3 linked regions of the Xenopus tropicalis genome follow. The protein of the gene in region 3 interacts with the protein of the main gene of each other region in a pairwise test. Links are inferred from orthologs where the notes say so. Each region holds a gene or a part of one and is shown on either strand. Other genes may lie near its edges.

What was found.
Region 1: the proteins of ube2n (region 3) and mid2 interact in a two-hybrid assay, tested with the Homo sapiens proteins (2 studies listed by BioGRID). The link is inferred for Xenopus tropicalis from reciprocal best matches to the Homo sapiens genes UBE2N and MID2.
Region 2: the proteins of ube2n (region 3) and znrf2 interact in a two-hybrid assay, tested with the Homo sapiens proteins (4 studies listed by BioGRID). The link is inferred for Xenopus tropicalis from reciprocal best matches to the Homo sapiens genes UBE2N and ZNRF2.

What each region holds. Positions count from the first base shown.
Region 1 is NC_030684.2:40,404,193-40,407,946, forward strand, and holds the start of mid2 (probable E3 ubiquitin-protein ligase MID2), read right to left. Parts: upstream 2,415-3,754; 5' UTR 2,082-2,414; intron 1,114-2,081; exon of another isoform or gene 200-1,113; intron 1-199. UniProt on the Homo sapiens protein: E3 ubiquitin ligase that plays a role in microtubule stabilization. Mediates the 'Lys-48'-linked polyubiquitination of LRRK2 to drive its localization to microtubules and its proteasomal degradation in neurons.
Region 2 is NC_030682.2:51,420,599-51,424,352, forward strand, and holds the start of znrf2 (E3 ubiquitin-protein ligase ZNRF2), read right to left. Parts: upstream 2,790-3,754; 5' UTR 2,086-2,789; coding exon 1,671-2,085; intron 1-1,670. UniProt on the Homo sapiens protein: E3 ubiquitin-protein ligase that plays a role in the establishment and maintenance of neuronal transmission and plasticity. Ubiquitinates the Na(+)/K(+) ATPase alpha-1 subunit/ATP1A1 and thereby influences its endocytosis and/or degradation.
Region 3 is NC_030679.2:56,096,406-56,100,159, reverse strand, and holds the start of ube2n (ubiquitin-conjugating enzyme E2 N), read left to right. Parts: upstream 1-892; 5' UTR 893-910; coding exon 911-940; intron 941-3,754. UniProt on the Homo sapiens protein: The UBE2V1-UBE2N and UBE2V2-UBE2N heterodimers catalyze the synthesis of non-canonical 'Lys-63'-linked polyubiquitin chains. This type of polyubiquitination does not lead to protein degradation by the proteasome.

The sequences.
Region 1 (3,754 bases), on a different chromosome or scaffold from region 3:
TGCATTGAGAGAAATGGACCTATAAGTGTATAGCCCTTATTAATATGCCCAGGCTCGGAGCCAATGTGATGCCCCAAGCAGCACTAACCCACGTCAAGCATGTACCCTCCTGTAATGTGGCTAGAACCCCCCCCCCACCCCATGCCCCTGCTGTCTGTCTATCTCCTCCCCAGTTACACACATGCACATCATGGATTACCCGTAACTTTCCCAGCAGCTGCCCATCTTCTATGGAGAGAGGGTGCAAGGCGCAGTCAGTCACAGAGAAGCAGCGATGGGTCCAATGAGAGAGGCAGACAGGTGCTGGCTTGGCTGCCCAGGGGGGTATCAGAGCTGCTATACAGGGTAATGGCCAAATCCAGAGCTACTGAGTCGGAGCAAGCACAGAGCTGTCACTCCCATGCCCAGTGCTAGTGCCCATATGCCTGTCCCAGAGCTGATGGGCTGGAGACAACACAGTGCAGCAAGCAGGAGGTGCAAAGTGACTGGCAGGCAGCAGCAGCACACAGCTGGCTCTGGGTACATGTGCATAGCCCAAAAGCTGCCAGCATGGGATCAGTGCCCTGTGCCAGGCTCTAATAATAGCAACATCCAGTGCAATAATCACACACAGCAGGGCAAGGGATCCACGGTGCCGCACTCATAGAGGAACGGATCCTGTGCTCTGTGCCAGGGTGCCCAGACATCCATTGCAATTTCCAAAATCCAGGAAGGGATCAAGTCTCTGCCAACTAAGGGGCAGGCTGCCAGTTGCCTGTGTCTGTGCCAAGAGGAGGACAGGATCCAGTGCACAGAGCGGCAGAGACTCTCAGATGGTGTATCTCTGATAGAGAGGGAGGGGGTGACATAGAAGAGTAACAGGCAGTGCAGTTACTTCCAGGATCGATCCATCTTCACTCCCACTCCCTGGCACGTTGGGAAGTCACACATTCACAAGCTCGCTTAGCAAGGAAGAAGGCTCCCTCTGCCGGTAGCAGCGCAATAGTGCAGCTCACTCTGTGTCGGTAGAACAGCAATCCCAGGAAGCATGTTGTAGGTGGGACAGCGCAGGGAATGCTGGGTAGAAGCAACTCACTATATTAGTCAGGAGATGGCCTTCCTGTAATTTGGAGCTTTCTGAATAACAGGTTTCCAGATAATGAATCCCATTCCTTTACTTGTAATAATATAATAAATACAAACTAACTGAAAAATACATTGCAAATTATTCATACATAATTAGGAAACACTCCATGCATCCCGCCCTTAGCTAGGTTTAACCTGTTTCCTTGGGTATTTCTAACAATGAATTCTAACAATCCACATCCTGCATGGCTAGTTAGCATTATTATTTTAGATGCATGCTGCATGACTGAACAAAAATCTGTTTAGTCTGCAGCATGAGTCTAAATTAATTGCTAATTGGCCACACAGGATGTGGATTCAGCACATGTGCTGCTGCATTTTCAGGCAGAATCCTGTGCCAGAATCCTGTGAAAAGATAGATAAGTAATAAAAAATAATAATAATAATAACACTGTAAGCTCACAGAACAATAGTATTTTAGCTATCAGGGTCAGTGACCCCCATTTTAAATCTGGAATAATGTAGAAGAGGAAGGCAAATAAAAAATACTTTGTCCCTTTAAATTGTTCAGTATATGATGTCAATTAAAACGGAAAAATCCAATGTAGATCCATTTTCATTGTATGGAATCAAACCGTACAATATGGAAAGTCTGAATGGGCTTCATATTTACATTTAAAGGGCAGCATATAAGCACTTACGCCACATCTCACCCTAACTGGCGACTGGATGGTCAATAGAACTACAGTACGGAAATGGGAATTAGAAGCATGTAAAATGGCCTCATCTCTTGATGAACTACAATTCCCACCATCCCATGTGAGCAAAAGCGTCGCTTAAACACACACCAATGTGGGATTGTCACACCAGCGTTTCAGTCACATATGGTAACAATCCAAAGGGGCACAAAGGAAGGTCACCCTATGTTAGTGAAATGTTTAATAAAACATGTTTCAATTAGATTTTTGCACAAGTCCTGATGAGTGAGGTGCCAGGGTGTTTGTACTTGTACTTACCTGCAGGGGGCATGTTGGTACAGTCTGCTAGGGGTGTTGCACTGAACTCCTCCTGCGCTGCACGGCCCAAGCATCAAACAATTGCTCACATGGCTCCTTCTCACTCAGGATTAAAATATGAAAAGCTCTTGCTTTCCCATCAAGCACCTGTGATCCTTTGCCCTTATCTTCCATATAAAGTTTAGCCAGATCCAACCTGGAAGGAGAAAGAACAATACCATTCTGATCAAACAAACAGTTCAGCTTAAACTTAACTTTTTATGTCACAGAGACAGCAGCATTCCAACACAATATGCAATTAACCATTATTTTAAAAATGTATTTGATCAGAAACTCTCACACTTAGAATTGCAGCTGCTGCCTGGTTGCTAGAGCTTAACTACCCCTTAACCATAATGCAGTTTCAAAATAAAATGGACAGTTAGTAGTAGATGGGCTGAAAAGAAAATATTAACATAATTAATGACATACAAACCAAAGAGGTCAGTGGGAGACACAAAGCGGGCTGTACAGACTAATGGTAAAAATGCTTGGAATCACCCCCATTCATTTCCATGGCAATTACCTAGACAAGGGGGCCATGTGACTGTAGCATGAAAATCAGGCAGACAGCAATTTTGTGGGTTCAGGTGATTGTCATAGAAAATAATGGGGATAATTTTGATCATTTTATTTGCCACATACTGAACTGGAAATCGCTTGGGGAACAAAATATCCTCTTCTGTGCCATTACCCTAAAGCTGTACATTACAGGCCATGGGGGCAATAGGGGCAACAGACCCTGCCACCTCAAAAGACCCAGGAAAACAGAGGGCCCAGTGGGAGTGCACAAGCCCCCCACTAATAAAAAAGGCTTTAGTATTGATACTGTTGGGGGGAAATCCATCCTTCCTATAGATGTTGCCTTTCTTCCCTATTAAGATCATTGGCATCAAATACCAACTTTACAGGCCAAGTAGCAGCCTCAGATACAGACATGGGGGCACATTGAGGGAAATCATAATAGATATGTAGGAATGCCAGAGCGGCCCTCTTTCTATGTTTATAAGTGTTTTTCCACAAACTGGACAATGCTGTGTAGTCCTGGGGGACAGTGACCCTGAGAATCAGAAAGCAGATTGATAGGGTGCAAGTCTATTCTCAGCCTCAAGCAATGGGATTACAGCACCATATCAACTGGCAACTGGCTGCCAGGGATACTATGTCTTACTATGGCTATTTAAGCCACTGCCTGGTTTCTAGGAGGAGAGAGACCTTAGAAACAGGAAAACTATTAAAGTGCAAAAATGTACAAACAGCACACAGAAAATTCATATTCCGCGTAGAATACTTTCATCTTCCTCAGTAATCGTATACCTGTATCCCTCTAGTCATTGCTAAACTACAGTTCCTACCATTCCCTATGATAACCAGGAGCCAAGCTGTAGTTCAGATAAGACACCAGAGAGAGATGATCTAAGCAGGGCCATAATCAGTGGGCACAGGGAGAGTCCAGTCAGGAGCCCTGTGAGTTCCGATGGTGGCCCTGATTCTAAGGCTGCTTATGTTTGGCGTTTATATGTTGTGTGTCAGTAAGTGCTAACTTGATTGGTCACAAGTCTCACTATGCAAGCAAAGACTGTCACACATGCACCCAAGTATGTGATTGGCTGCTAGTTTCTGGGATACCATGC
Region 2 (3,754 bases), on a different chromosome or scaffold from region 3:
ACCCTATTTAAAAGCTGGAAAGAATAAGAAGGTGAATAAATCAAAAACCAATTAAAAAATGAAGACCAAATGAAATTTTGGTAAGAACTGACCATTCTATGATAAACTAAAAAATTAACTTAAAGGTAAAGTACCTCTTTAAGGTCAAGTGCTTGTTACAGGGCTTCCTTCCTCAAATAATCAATGCTATACCAGTGGGCCTGAATTATTGTAAGCTATCACACAATCTTGTACAGTCCTTCTACATGTACACTACTCTTGTACATGTCGGATGCTTTATGTGTATAAATACTCAGGCTTTTAGCTACATAACAAAGCATAAACATGACAGCCACACGCTTGTTTGACATTGGTTTTGTGCTGTACAGAGAGGAGGTAATATGAGTATTAAAATGCATTAATAGCTTATACCACTAGTATTAGCCTAAAGACTTGAATGTGTGAATGCAAAAAAGGGTCTGTCAAAAGGTATCAATATTTAAGTTATTCCTATTTTTATGTTCATGCTACAGCTTATGCAATTGAAAACGACATTAAATCACTCAATCTTTGTTTGGCTGCAACGGTGTCTTCTGTTAGTGGTTACAGTGAATTGAGAACGATGCGGAAGAAACAGTGCTTATGACAGATTTAGCCATGCCGTGCATCATGTACTCAGGCCTTTCAGAGAAACAAGAACTTATCTCATAAGCCACACAAAGTGTATTTAAATGTTCAGTGCCTCATATACGATAAGCAAATTTTTGAGCTGTGATCTAATTTCAGTAAAATATGAAATCATTAACTTTGCTGCCTGCTTAACCATTTACTGGGCTTCTCTGGTTTCCTCGTACCATTAAAAATTCCACTGGCACCAATACAACTAACTGCTGCCACTTCCTACATTACATAAACAAAACCGCCTGACACTTTTGCAATACCACAGTATTAAGCCTTTACCATCACAGCATTTAGTGGTCATTTCTTTCTACCCCAGCTGTTGCTGAATTAGGGTGAAGACACACAGAGCTACTTAGGGCTCTGGCACACGGGGAGATTAGTCGCCCGTGACAAATCTCCCTTGTCACGGGCGACTAATCTCTCCAAGTTGCCATGACCCGCCATCCCACCGGCGAACATGTAAGTCGCCGGCGGGATGGCACACGTGGCGGCGCGATTTCCCGAAATCGCCGAAAAAGCCTTGCGAGTCTTTTTCATCCCGCCGGTGACTTACATGTTCGCCGGCGGGATGGCGGGTCGTGGCAACTCGGGGATATTAGTCGCCCGCGAACAGGGAGTTTTGTCGCGGGCGACTAATATCCCCGTGTGCCAGAGCCCTTAGTAGCAGCTAATTGTCACAGCTACTAAATGCCAGAAAATACCCTGCCATAGACAATACTGAGTATTGTCAAACAGAGAATTGCCAAACAAAACAGAGACAGTTATCAGTAAATGTTTAGCATTGTCTATTTTTGGAGCCATGACAAGTAGCTGCTACTTGTCGCTGTGTGTCTTCACCCTTAAAGTTGCCAGCAGTTTTCTCGCATCCTCATTTGGTTGTCTGAGAACAACTCAAGAACAACTAGGGAAAGTCTAATTCTAGCTCCCCACTAATGTAGCACAAGTCGGAATGGAAGGACAAGCGTAAGGCAAGTGCTTTCACGTCACTCACATGATGTCAGAATACTCACCGCCAAAGAGGTGTGGGGAGAGGTGAGCAGGTAAAGATCCAATCATTAACCTAGATTCGCGCCCCCCAGGTGCCCTTTCCCGGGATCCTTCCTCGGGTGTGCTGCTGCCAGAGTCCCGGGCTGCCCCGGGAATACTAAGCGGGGCTTGGCTCCGTATCCCCCCCACAGAGCGGCTCCTGGAAGCCAATGCTGCTGGCTGAGTGCTCTCCGTGCCGCTCGCCCCTCTCCCGGCACTGCCCGCTGCCGCCTGCCCACTTGAAACATAGGAGTATCTGGCTATAGGGGACGAGGAGGAAGAGGCGACACCAGAAGGGCCCCTGTAAGGCCCCCGGGCCGTATTAGTAGGGATATCCGATCCAGAATAAGCCCTTGTTCGACCGTCCGCTGCCGGACTGCTGCTCTGCCGCCCACCCATCCCCGACACACACCCGGCTGGTTCAGCATCCACCGGGGGGTGAGGGGCAAGTGTCCTTGTGCTGAGCGAAGGCGCTTAGTCCTGAGTTAAGTGCCAGTCAGATCCGGGTGTGTTGCACACTATTGGCCAACCTTGCCCATACATGAGCCGCTCATACAGCGCCAGACTAATACCAAGCTTGGCCGTCCCTTTCTTCCCCTCTGGGCACACACCCGACACCAAGCGCAGGGGGCATTGTATCCGGCAGGCTTAGCAGCTCTTCGGCAGGTACAGGTGTGTACGGGCCAAGTAACCCCAGCCCCCCGCTGTTTGTACACAATGCTCTCCCGTGGTGTCACCTATCCGGGCACATTGTACATTCCTGTCACAGGTCGGCCCTGGAGGTGTCCTTCCGCGTGTCACATGCCCCTTCGCTCCCCGCTGAGCGCAACATCCATAGGGCGCCCCCCTGTTCCCAGCGCCCAGGTGCCTGGCTGCCGCCACAGCGCACACAATACACACAGCTTGTTTGCCCACAAGCAGCAGGGCTACAAACTTTCCATGAGCGGTGCCCGGCCTCACATCCCAGTGCCGCAGTGCCAGCAAGGTTACCCGTGCGTGTATGTGCGCTGACAGGAATGCACGGTGTGTGTGCAGGGACGCATGGAGCCTGGGCCGCCCCTCCTGTCAGCCAGACGGCAGTCCTCCCTCCTTGTTATGAAAGACTTGCGCTCTGTTGTTATTCTTTCCTCAAGTACAAAGCTCCTTGGCCTGGTTTCCCTCCTATCCCGGAGTGCCATTCGCCCTCCCTGCTGTCTGTCACAGTATATCCCGCCCCTCACGTCTCTTCTCAAAGCTCCGTGTCCTCCACTGTCTCCGCGTGTTCCTACATTCATTATTAGCCCGTCTCCTTGGCTGCTGCCGCCGTTTGGCTTCTGCTCTGTTGCTCCACGTCCCCATTTCTTTCCATTTCATCGCTTTAATTTCCATTACAGTGGATGGCAGCTCCTACGCGCGTTCCGCCTCACCGAGCAGGGTCTGTTTTAGAGAAGACATGGAGGGCATTCGCACAAGGCTCACAGACTATAGGGCCCTTTCTGAGAAAATGTGTCATTTTTAGTTACCCCTCCAGCTGCTATTATAATGCAACTCACACCTCCTCATTGTCAGAAGAAGGTTGTGGGATTTGTAGCAGTAGCTGTGGGGGTCGCAGGTTCATCATTGAATACCATTATCTTGTCCAGCAGATGTAGGTGCATATGTATATATAGATATAGATATATATATATATATATGATAGATATGCCTTTCTGTAATGCCTGGAACCCATCCGCTCTGTTACCAAGCAACCTGCTGCTCCAACCTGTTGAGCCTTAGCTCTGGGCATCCCCAGGGGCAGTTGGCTTGGTGACTACTTAATTCAGCCCACATCCTCCTTAATAAGTATATTCATTATTTGTCTGTACCGCCCTTACAAGCATTTTAAATATTCACCTTTTATAACCTCTACACTGTATATTTCCTATGCAATACTCCCTGTACATACACACTGCATTTCTTTATGATATTTATATATACTATACATTGTTAGGCACCATTAGCTTCCAATTTTTGTGCCAGGGCCTAATTTAGCTTAATGTGTTGCTTTTGTCTTCCATTATGTGTTCTTGCGTTCCAGTTCCAGCTTGCA
Region 3 (3,754 bases):
GTCATGCAATGTTTTCTGCACAAGAAACTTTGGCCAATGTAGTGCTGCATATTCCTTTCCACCAATAAGTCACTTTATTGCCAGTGGGAAAGCATTTTAGGGAGTAGGCAGTTAACTTATCTATATGTTTTTGGTGTGTGAGATGGAACTGGACTAGCCAGAGCTACTCCAGACACAGAAAGAACATACCAACTCCTTGCATGCTCAAACTGGTTTTGAATACAGGATCCCAGCACTGCAAGGCAGTCCACTAAGCCACCATGAATTAAGCTTTTGTTGATGCTGGGGTTTCTGCAAAATGTGTAAACAATTTCTGATAGACTGGCTCTATACACTATTACCCCGACTTCTATTCAAGTAGAGTCTTATATTCTGTTACCAAAAGAATCAAAACATTTGCTACCTGCCTAACATTACATTCAGAGGGTGTTAATATGAAGTTGCTTTTTTTTCTGCTAATATAATAGTGAAGTCATATGGTTTTATTCAAGGTGTCCTACTTTCAGGCCTTATAGCATAGTCTGACTCCAGTTTCATTTCTTGTCTCGCCAGCTGTATGGGGTGGGGTGAAGCTGAAACCTCATCATGCTAACACGACTGTTCGTTTCTTACGTCTTGTTGGTTTTCAATGTCTTCTATGCTCGCTACAGGCAGTGCATAGAAGACATACTGAAACACTTAAGCATTGTTCCTTGGGCTAAAATGAACATTCTGACTACACACACCAACAAGCGTGATTACATCATTATACATGAGAGGAATAACGAGTCCCGTTACAACTACATCTCCCATGAGCCTGTGGGCTGTCGCAATGACGTCAGCGGAAGCGGATGCCGCGCTCTCACTTGTGCGTGACAGGGGGATCCGGTGGCACGCAGAGAGTTGGAGGCTGCACGCATTATAAGACAGGATGGCCGGGCTGCCTCGCAGGATAATCAAGGTAATTGGCGGCTTGTAGCTAGTGAAGTAGTAGCGATTGCTTTACGTTATGTCTTGGGCTTAGATCAGCGGCATTGATCCGAATGAATGGAGACAAGGCCCGGGAATGTCCCCGCCCTCCAGCCCGCTTCAACATGGCACCCGCCGGGTGGTACTGGGCCTGTAGTGATGTCTGATGGGGTTGAGGGTCCGGGGTCGCTATGTGTGCGCGCCTTGTATAGGAAACCACCCCAACGGGGATATGGGGACAACGTTATTTTTTGTGCTTGAAGTAAAACCTTGTGCCGACCACACCCACGCCATTTGCTTGTAGTCTGTTAGCGTTAAGGCTACATAAGGGTACAGATATGGGGGGGGGGGTATATAGGAATGAGTTACACTGTAGCACATAGGGTGACTCCCCCAGACACTGCATGCCATTACTAATACGTGTGCTTAGTGTTTAGGAGCTATATCGCATTTTACTGCATCAATTGACGGCAGAGGTGTCGGCAGTAGACCATTTTATATATAGGTAGGCTATTGATTAGTAAGGAGGGTATATTTCATCTTGGCTCACTATTTATTGCACCTCATTTAGTTAAATTGGGAGCCAAATAGTTCTGCTTGTCACTGTACCCCAATGTATTCTACATTTTTACATGGCTGTTGGTTGAGCCATGCTAAGGGGGATTTTACCCTTACTAAATACTAGCGCAGAGCTGCTTCTAGGTAAGTGTTACGTTTTTCTGGGGTATCCAGGTGACTTTGGAACAACTCACGAACCACTAATTAATTTAGGATCCTTTAAGCACCATATTATAATTCGTAATTACTGTTCTTCAGTGGCGTTTTCGGTCAGGTAAAGGTTATGGAGACCCAACCTAAGTAGCGTGGACGGGGATTCATTGTGGTTCCCCAACACCTAGATTAAGAATTCTTATTCTAGGTAAACTACTTAATGACACACAGAGCTACTAGTTGCAGCCACAAAGTACCAGAAAATACCCTTCTATAGATAATACTGAGAATTGTCTCTGCTGAAACACATATTGAGAATATTTACTGTTGTCTATTTTGTAGCCACAACAAGTAGCTCCATCTGTCAATGCTCTAAAGAGGCAACCAGGTTCCCTCTTTTGTGGTGTCTCTGCGTAATGTGCAGTCTCTCAGAAGACCTGTTCTTGTCCCAGCAGCTTGTGATAGGTTATATTTTGCCACAGGATTCACTATTAGCTTTTCAGAACTTCAGCCACAACATTTATTTGTGGAACGCATGGCATATACTTTATTCTGAAGTTGCATCATCCCTTTAAGTCAAATAAAGATACAGTTGAATGTCATATGATGTGAGGCACTGAAGGAAGCAGATATCTGTCCTTTAAATCTTCATGCTAAATGGTTGGGTAACTTAGGTTGATAGTATTGCCATTTACAGTGGTTGGGAAATTGGCCTATGAATATCAATATTGGACTAGGTACTGTGCTGAAGCCCAGATTTTACTTAAATTCTAATTAAATATTTTAAATGTTCATTTTTTGGGATGTCTGCCTCTGCTAAGCTCTATCTGCTTCACTTTTTTATGTGAATCAGTGACAACCATCTTCTATATTGTCAGCAGTGTTTCCACATTTCCTGTCTAAATTATATCATATATTATGCAAGATACTTTTAACCAGTATTTGAACCTTTTTTCCAACCTCACATGTATAATTAAATATTTTTGCTGGACTTCTTACATACATCTGATATACAAAGAAAACATTTCGCAAAATACACGGATGAAATGGAAGAAGTTTGTGGCTGGATGTGATGAGATTGAAAAATATAGCACACTCTTGCTTTCAATATAGTAGCTATTTAAGTGCATCGCTGTAACACATGCAGAAAAACTGGCATATAAACCATGCACCAAAGTGGTATATGTAGTTTAATTCAGCAGGAACAGATCACCAGCACTTCCTGTCATGATTCCAGCTTACACCACTTTAATTTCTAAAGCTAATTGCTGGCAACCTGTCAAAATGCTGCACTGAGTGCTGGGAGAGAGATGTTGGTGATGGTGTAGACAGCATCACTAAATAAAATCAAACGGTTAAAATCATTTGGCTTAAAAAGCCCTTAGATGTTTTGTTTTAATGCATATTATCATTTAATGCATATTTGTTGTAAAAGTTTTTGGTTTGTTTTGCTGTTGCAGTTAAAATGAAACCGTATTTTACATGTAAAATATTTATTTGAAGCTACACAGCAAATCTGAATCTCACTATGGCTTCCTTGGAGTATTTCTAACATACATAAGATAACATGCAGTGAAATAATGTGCCATCAATTGGGTGTTGACCCTTGGCAACAATATAGATATTGCCTGCATGCATTTTATTTTCCATTCAACGTTTATAAATTGTCTAATGCAATTATCATGATCTTCTGATATGTCTAACATAAGAAAGCTTCAGTTTTCTTATTAGCGAATCAAGTGGAAAGTCTGGTTTGATCTTGTCAAGGATCCATGTTTGTTCCTTGCTATCTGTGGTATTCTCAAAAGTTATTACTAACTCGAGTTCAAAGGCATCAGTACATTTACTGGCCTGCTTCTTTATTTTTCAGTTTTATTCACTATTACATACCATTTTTTCATGATATTTCTTGTCCTGATTTCTATTTCAGTTTATAGCTAGTTCACATGATTTTGCTCTTTTTTTTTTAGTTACCCTACCTGCCTACTGAAGATCTTTCCCACAACCATTCCTTATGGGAAAGATTAAGCCTTTTACTGTGTTGAATATTTATAGAACCTGTTGACAAAATGTAAATGCAGTTAGACCAAGTTGC